Linked DNA regions of Bombyx mori. The protein of the gene in region 1 purifies or fractionates together with the protein of each later gene. This does not show direct contact. Links are inferred from orthologs where the notes say so. Each region holds a gene or a part of one and is shown on either strand. Other genes may lie near its edges. The genes, in order: bone morphogenetic protein receptor type-1B and protein mothers against dpp.

The links.
Region 2: the proteins of bone morphogenetic protein receptor type-1B (region 1) and protein mothers against dpp purify together in Drosophila melanogaster (affinity purification with western blotting; 3 studies listed by BioGRID). This does not show direct contact. The link is inferred for Bombyx mori from reciprocal best matches to the Drosophila melanogaster genes tkv and Mad.

Annotation. Positions count from the first base shown.
Region 1 is NC_085109.1:1,487,709-1,491,644, forward strand, and holds the start of bone morphogenetic protein receptor type-1B, read right to left. Parts: upstream 2,351-3,936; 5' UTR 1,985-2,350; coding exon 1,975-1,984; intron 1-1,974.
Region 2 is NC_085118.1:1,283,364-1,287,299, forward strand, and holds the start of protein mothers against dpp, read right to left. Parts: upstream 2,331-3,936; 5' UTR 1,094-2,330; coding exon 986-1,093; intron 1-985. Other genes in the region: pneumococcal serine-rich repeat protein-like, read right to left, coding at 2,386-2,543, 3,591-3,936.

The DNA.
Region 1 (3,936 bases):
TAATGGCCTGCTTTAATTTCCCCTAAACCCAAATCATGAATATTGCCCGTGGCAGCAACTATACCATTCGCTTATTTCCGCATTCAATAGCAAAATTACTTCAATTCACTAAATACTTTTATAGTACTAAAGATCATTCAAGACTTCTTTTTAAAAAAATAGTGCTGCAGAAACATCTAGAAAAGTCGGCTCGATAGTTTCTTCAAATATGGCCAAAATTATGACCCTAAAGTATTGGGTAGTAAATGCTGGAAATTAGAAGATGAAGTGAAGAAGTCAAGGAAAAGAATAATTAATGAAACTTCCGAATTCACGATACCCAAAGATTTCTGAAGCATTTGAATGTGTGTGTGTGTGTGTGTGTGTGTGTCTGTGCTGTGAAATGTAATCAATGATTCCATTGTAAAAGTGTATACACAGTTGACCAAAGCGTAAATTGAAAAGACTCAATGTACCGTGACATTGTGATTCTCTCGATACCTAGAACTCGTTCAAGAAGTAATTAACAATCCTTATGGGCTCTTTTTAATATAACCTTCCTCTTGATGGAATTGCGCATTGTTTACGAACACTGCAGGGTTTTCGACAAAATCATGTCTATATAAAGTTTGTACCTAAATATTTTATTTATGGTCTTCGAAGGCATGTCATCGTGTCGTATGCTTTTGCCACCTGTTGGGAAAAGGTCGCCGCTACGCATAGACATGGACATGACACATCAGAGGCAAGATGAATACTAAGCGAGAAATTATCACATACTTCGTTTGTGGAAAATCATTAATAAAGTTCAGGTAGGGAAATTAGTTCCAAATTTTTAAAGACTAAAGAAAGATCTTTGGTAGAGCAGCCCGCAAAATTAATAAGTGGCGACAGTTGAAAAGAATTAACTCTATACCAATATTCAATTGTACGACACTATGGATTTTCTGTTGAATTTATTTCTTTTAAACTTTAAACCGGACAAATTTTAATGTGGATTGAACATTTCATTACGACCGTAATAATAAACTTTTTATGTGGCTTTTTTTTGTGTCCTATTTTGAAAAGCCACAGGTACAAGGGCTGGCTGAGGAAAATAAATACAAAAGGTCCGAGAACAACAATGAAATCAGAACAGGTAAATCTTAAAACCGAACCATTTGCTGGAGAGAGCTCGGAATAGGTCTATTGTTCAAATTTACAATGAGAATATATTAAAGTAAAAAAAATGATTAGAAATAATATGTTTAACTGTTATTGGAATACAACAATCTATGTAACTATATTTATCAAAGTTATGATAGGTGTGTCACTCAATATTGAACAATAATTTTACAATCGCAGGATCAAATAAACAATCCCATTTTATGTCCAATCAAAAATACTTCAATAACTAATTTGTCTTCTTATAACGAAAAAATGATTATATGATATTGTTGTGACAAACCATCTACGATAAAATATGGTCAATTAAAGAAAAACAAATCTTCATTACAATCATTAAGCGTGTCATTTAAAAATGGATTGATTTGTAAAACATAAACAACCACTTGAAGAATTCACCTCAGTGTTTGTATTTTTCTTTTTCATTTGACTGGATATGAGTTTGAGTTTTACTCGCCTAATAATGCAGTACCAGAGGACGAAGGAATTACAAGTTAAAACTTACTAGAAGACCCGAACGTTGCATGTAAAGTTACGACAAACACAGGAAACGATGAATGAATCAACATGCACATCCTTTCATTATACAAATCCGCTCCGAAGACGGAACCATGGCAGGAAAGCCGTCCGACTAAAAACTATACAAGATTCATCTGAAACTTCGACGGAACACCTTCCAAACAACATTATTTTACATTATGAATCTGAGATCTTTGGAGGCACCATTCTCAGCAACCTTGGAGCCGTCGTATGAAACATGATATGCAGGCTTGCGGGCATCAAGCCTCGCAAAGATTTACGATACAGTTTAATACTAGGCGTTGAACGTACTCAGCCTCATGTCGTCGGTGTTTTGCAGCGAGCCCAGTCCCGATTCCGCTCTATCATTTAAATATAACTCGGAACGCCGCCGTCTGTCGCCGACTTTATTTTTACACCACCAAGATTAAAACTGGACAGTCACAACGCACGGATTTCTCGGGATACGTAACAGTTGGCGCGCACTGATACACGTTAACGTATTCGGACGCGTGTCCTCCGCGTGACGCGTGGTGCGCGAATGAAGTGACGGAGCGCTCGACTCGAGTGGCGTCCCCGCAGCCCTGCCCCCTCCCCGCGTGCACTATGCACCGCCGCACCGTTCGCTGCACAGCCTCCACATGGCTCCGTGCCGAGATAATACCCAACTAATAGGTATACAACTTCGCACAGACGCATGATACACATATTTAAATGCGATTCATTGACGACAATACAATACGCCGATCGATAGCTTATGTGATCTACTTTTCAAGTATAAACAACGGAGACACGGTTCATTAACACAAACTGTTGAATTGATTACGGATATTGAATGAATTATTGAGATCGATTTAAAACTGAAAGAAGTGGTCCTTGGGTACCTATCCTTTTTTGGCACATGCTTTTTTGGAAATTAGTACTGTACATACTAGATAACATTCTAATGCTATGCGATTCTGCATATCTAACATCTGTCAGTAGCTGTAGCTTTTAATAGTTTACGACACGTCAATATTCTTACTTGCACATGTTATAAGACAGAAGTGAACTATAAAACTATACCGAGGGCCCAACTAATCGGGCGACCGTTAAGGTCCCGTGTTTATGGTTACCATTTATCGACGCTTTCTCGACTTATTCCTTTAACGTTTCCTTTGATCGATTAATACGATAGTTGCGATGTTCATTTTCTTTGATTCCCTTGATACGTGTTGCTTTATTTCGAACCTGTCGGAATTGACATCCGCGAGAGTCCATATGGGGATCACGTGTGCGGGTCGGGCCGTCGTGGATAGCGTCGAAGTCGTAAATTACTCGAAGTCAGAGAGAGACCAGGGTGCTTAGTGCCAGTTTTTTAAGGTTCTCGCTAACGTAAAAGTTAGCTCATATTTGTATGTAATGGGATCGTTTGCGTACATTTGTAACTAGGGGCGCCAATTAGCCAAAATAGGGCCAAAATAGGGGTTCCAATTGCATACAAAATGGGCTTAACTTTTATGCTATCGAGAATGTTAAGAAACTCGCACTAAGCACACTGCAAAACGAATGCATCTCGAGCACGGAGGCGGCGCGCATCCACTTCAAACGATAAAACCAAACGCGCGCACGTGATCGTTGCCAAATCGCACGTAAATCACTCTTATGAATTCAAATTGCACGCGCCACAGATCCATTGTTCTCGACTACCGTTTTAAGCATCAATTTGCAAATAATGTAATGTCATTAGTTTAATACGAACCATGATTGGAGGATTTGATGGAGCGGTCGTGTCACTAACGGACATAATGTTAGTTGTATTCCGCGTAGTATTGACTTTATTATACGCGCGAGGCTATTTTCTCACGAGACTTGCTACTGGGGTGTTTCCACTGCACGTTTTAAATCCATGAGATTATTAGCAAATACCATCCATTGGTGGTAGCACGACTTGTGACTCCGCACGGGTAGGTACCACCACCCCGCCAATTTCTGCCGTGAAGCAGTAATGCGTTCGGTTTGAAGGGCAATGCAGCCGTTGTAACTATACCGAGACCTTAGAACTCATATCTCAAGGTGGGTTGCGGCATTTACGTTGTAGATGTCTATGGGCTCCGGTAACCACTTAACACCCGAACGATTTCTGGAAAATAAGCGAATCACATCATATTAAATTAGAGAAAAACCTGGGTCAATTCGAATTAGCTTAATGGAAAATCGAACAAACTGACGCCTTCAGTGCAGGAACTGTAGCTAATCATACAAATCGATTTGTTGGAGATACGAGTAAAAGGG
Region 2 (3,936 bases), on another chromosome or scaffold:
TTCATCAATAAGATTTCAGAAGATTCTGGAGGTATGCAGTCAGTCTAGCTTACACCTCATTTAACTGTCATTAGTATATCAATTTACATATACTAATAGTAATGTCTATTCACTTTTAGTTACTTTATTAATACATTTGTTTCCCACAATTTTATCTGACCCGTCAGACTATAGCTTATAGATAATAATTGAAATCCTTGACGAAATGGATTTTAATACAACAAATACTTAATATTTTAGTGGATATCTCAAACAGAAGGAAGCAAAGAGAATATTGCAGTACTGATATGTTACATACACACAATCCCTACTTAGTTACTCTATCACTACTAAGAATCCTCATCACACTTGCTAATCGAAGGTCCCCTATTGCCATTGGGTTGATATCACAAAAATACCTACAGAGATGCTAATCAGATCATTAGGTCGATGGTAGGCACTAATAAGCATTAGTCAAACCCTTAGGCATATGTTTTATAGTGAAGTTGACAAAACATCTCATCTGTTTAGGTAATAAAATAAAAAAATAATAAAAAATAAAAATAAAAACAAAAAAAAAGCCTATTTCCTTATCCTTAACTTTCATTTGAAATGTGGTATTTATTTGTTAGTGTTTAGTTAGTTATTAATGCTTTTTGTCTAAATGTTAGTACGAGTTAATTTTTGTTATTGGATATGGACCCCTCCTCCGGTGAAGGCCTCCTCCAGTCCTTTCCACTGATCTCTGTCCTTGCCGATCGTTTGCCAGTTTAGTTATAAACACCGAATACAAACTAAATGCTAAATTTAAATACTGTTTCTCGTCTCATTGAAATAAAGACATTGTAATTGTACTAACAGAAGATATGAGAAGTACATTCATTTCTGTTAGTAAGTTGTCGCTTTTTAGACATTTATGCTTAGTCAAAATAATACCATATCAATACCAATAGTCCTAACTTCAATGTGAGATATAGGTTTTATAATTATTAAAAAATTTGATTACCTGTTTCCAGCCAAGTAGTTTTTTGACAGCGGGACTGGTAAATGAGAATAGGCTGTTAAGGCTAGACATAGGCCCGCTACTTGAAGACTCGCCATCGTCAGTGTCCATCCCTACGTCCTGTTATGAGTCACCGGCCAAAGGCACACGCGTCCCCACAGTCACCGCGGCAACCGACACACCATCGATCAGCAATTCGGTATTCCCCACGGTGTCCCGGGCTAATTACGAACTCCACAAGATTGGCGTGACAATTGCCAAGCGTCCGGCCCACTATGATTTACGGCCTCCAATTTCAATCACTTGTTTACACATTCATCAAGAACGCGGTTTTTTTTTTAATTCAATGACTGTCCAACAGAAGTTCCTTAGATAACAAAATTTATTCAAGATTATAAAAAATAAAACGCTTAAAACGCAACAACTAGAATGCCAGTTAATTAACCAGTTCCTTTTTTGACGTTACTGTTAATGTTGCCATCAATATTCTGTCGGAATAGCAACATACTCTATGTCACTAATAACTAGAATTAAACTATATAAACTAATTTTAGCGATAGATCGAATTCGAGTGACAGAATAATCGAATCACTGACACATAATTGTAGACACCGGAGGCCGTGGCACAGAACACTATTACTTCTGAGGCAGTGGCATCTTTTTATCCCCAGTATTGTTTATAATTATCTAATCACAACTATTAAAATAATCTGTGTATCTAATAACCATACATAATACACTTATTATTTCTAATAACCACCTTCTTCATCGTATACTGAATGTTTTATAATTTACTGAGGCAAATAAAACAGATTTCCGAATATGGATTTTCGTGACTCGCCTAAAGTTAAATAAGTTGTAAACTAAATGAATAGAGACAAATTTCAAATGAAAAAACTTTTTTTTTTTTTTCAAATAATAATTTGCGCAGCCTCGTGATTATTTAAAAAATATATATTTTGGTATTAAATGCGAGTGAGTATGTATGTGTGCAAGTTGTACGTGAAGATCTGAAAAGTATTTCCTAAGAAAATTGGTGCTAGCATGCGGGATTTGACCTAAGGTCTATACCCTAGCTCCTAGTTCCTAGCTCCTAGCTACGGATAGCCGTAGTGGTTGGTATGATTGTACCGGGCATCTTATCCATTAGACCACAAGGACTAGCGTAAGACGTATTGGATCTTCTTTCTTTAAAAAGGTTATATCGATACACATCACATCTTGGCATTGTAAAAAGTACGCTTATCATTTAGTTACAAGCTTTTATAATAGTAGTACTTAAATTAGGGTACGGGTGAATATAGAATTGATAATAGTTTTATTTGTATTACTGTATTATTTATGTAACTAGTATGGATTATAGATGGATAAGAATGACTTAATTAGGAGGTATATCTATGGATTCATCGTCTAGGTTTCAAAGCACTTCCATCCAAGCTAATGAAGACTGGCTTGCTATTCAGGTCACACGAACAGTAGCAGCGTCCATACTTGGATCCGTCTTCGACGATCAGAGTCTTCAATGTTATTTCGTTTTCAACGGCCATATGCATTGCCGGAGCTGATAATCAGTAAAACGTGATTAGTACATAACAGAGTAGAGGTTACTTTATTTACAATGCTTAAAAATATTTAACGAGGTTATGATTTTATTTTATATTTATATTTTAATAAGTATTAATCACATGTTTAATTTAATATGATAATAATATGTAGTATCTGACACACTGTACGAAACTTGCTGAAAGTTAAAATTATGAGTGAGTCTATTAGGGGTCTACTATGGGTGAAAATTACGTATTCGAAACGTCACTAATCATTTATTGAGAATTAAATACGGGGTATTAAAACGTAACAGCTATTTCAATTACTCGTATGTCTTAAACTCAGGAAAGCCAGGGAAAGTTTTTTTTAAATTAATTTATAGCGGGAATTTGGAAACATTATCATACATATAACGCAAACGAGTTACTATTACAAATCTTACTAGACGTGCACCGCGGTTTTACCTGCGATACATTTCTAATTCATTAATACTAAAATTCATATATTTTCCCGAGATAAAAAGTTGTTTTTCAATCTTTCTCGTCCATAACCAGTCTATTTGTAGATCCTTGGTATCTACGTAAAATCGTGAACCAGAGAATAGGTACAAGGTCGTCTTTACTATAGCGAATGATTTTTTTGTTCTTGCCTGGATCAAGTACTTTATCATGATAGTAGTATCATATGCATACACGTTAAAAACCAGTGAAGTTTTCACCAATGAATCTACTACCGGATCGGACGATCCGCTGAGAAGAGCCGAAGAGAAACTTAGCGGGCTGATATGTACCTATATGGGTTAGGTTGCACGTCAAACTCTTTGCCGAGCTCGACGATTACGGTTTCCAGGGTCCCTGAACCTGCTCCTAGTGTTAGAACTAAAGGCGTCTAGTGCTGAGATTAATGGATCTGGTGGATCCGTAAGGACGTGCCGTGTTGTTTTTGTGTGAAAGAGTACCAAATATCTATTAATCCTCCCAAACTTTGGCATTTATAAAATAAGTAAACCATATAGGGACATACATACATTATGTACTAAAAATAAATCGAAAATAAATCATACCTTGATTAAATTTAGATAAATCATATCTTCCTTTGCGTTTATCTTCATTTTCCCCGACATCATCACCGAAGCCTTGGGTAGGGTTGATTTCTCGGTAATATCCTTTTAGGGTGCTCCCGATCGGACTCTTTGTTGATTTTGTTACTTGTATGAATGGCCTATGTTCATTTGATTTTTTGCTTTCTGGATTTTCTGTAGTTGTTTCGATTCGATTAACAGGTTTGGTTGCGAATTGTCCAGGTTGTGCGCTCGACTGTTGTGTTTGGACTGTGGACTGTGTAGGTTCGATTGATGATTGCAGAAGTTCGATTGTTACCTGCAGAGGTTCGTTTGATGACTGTTTAGA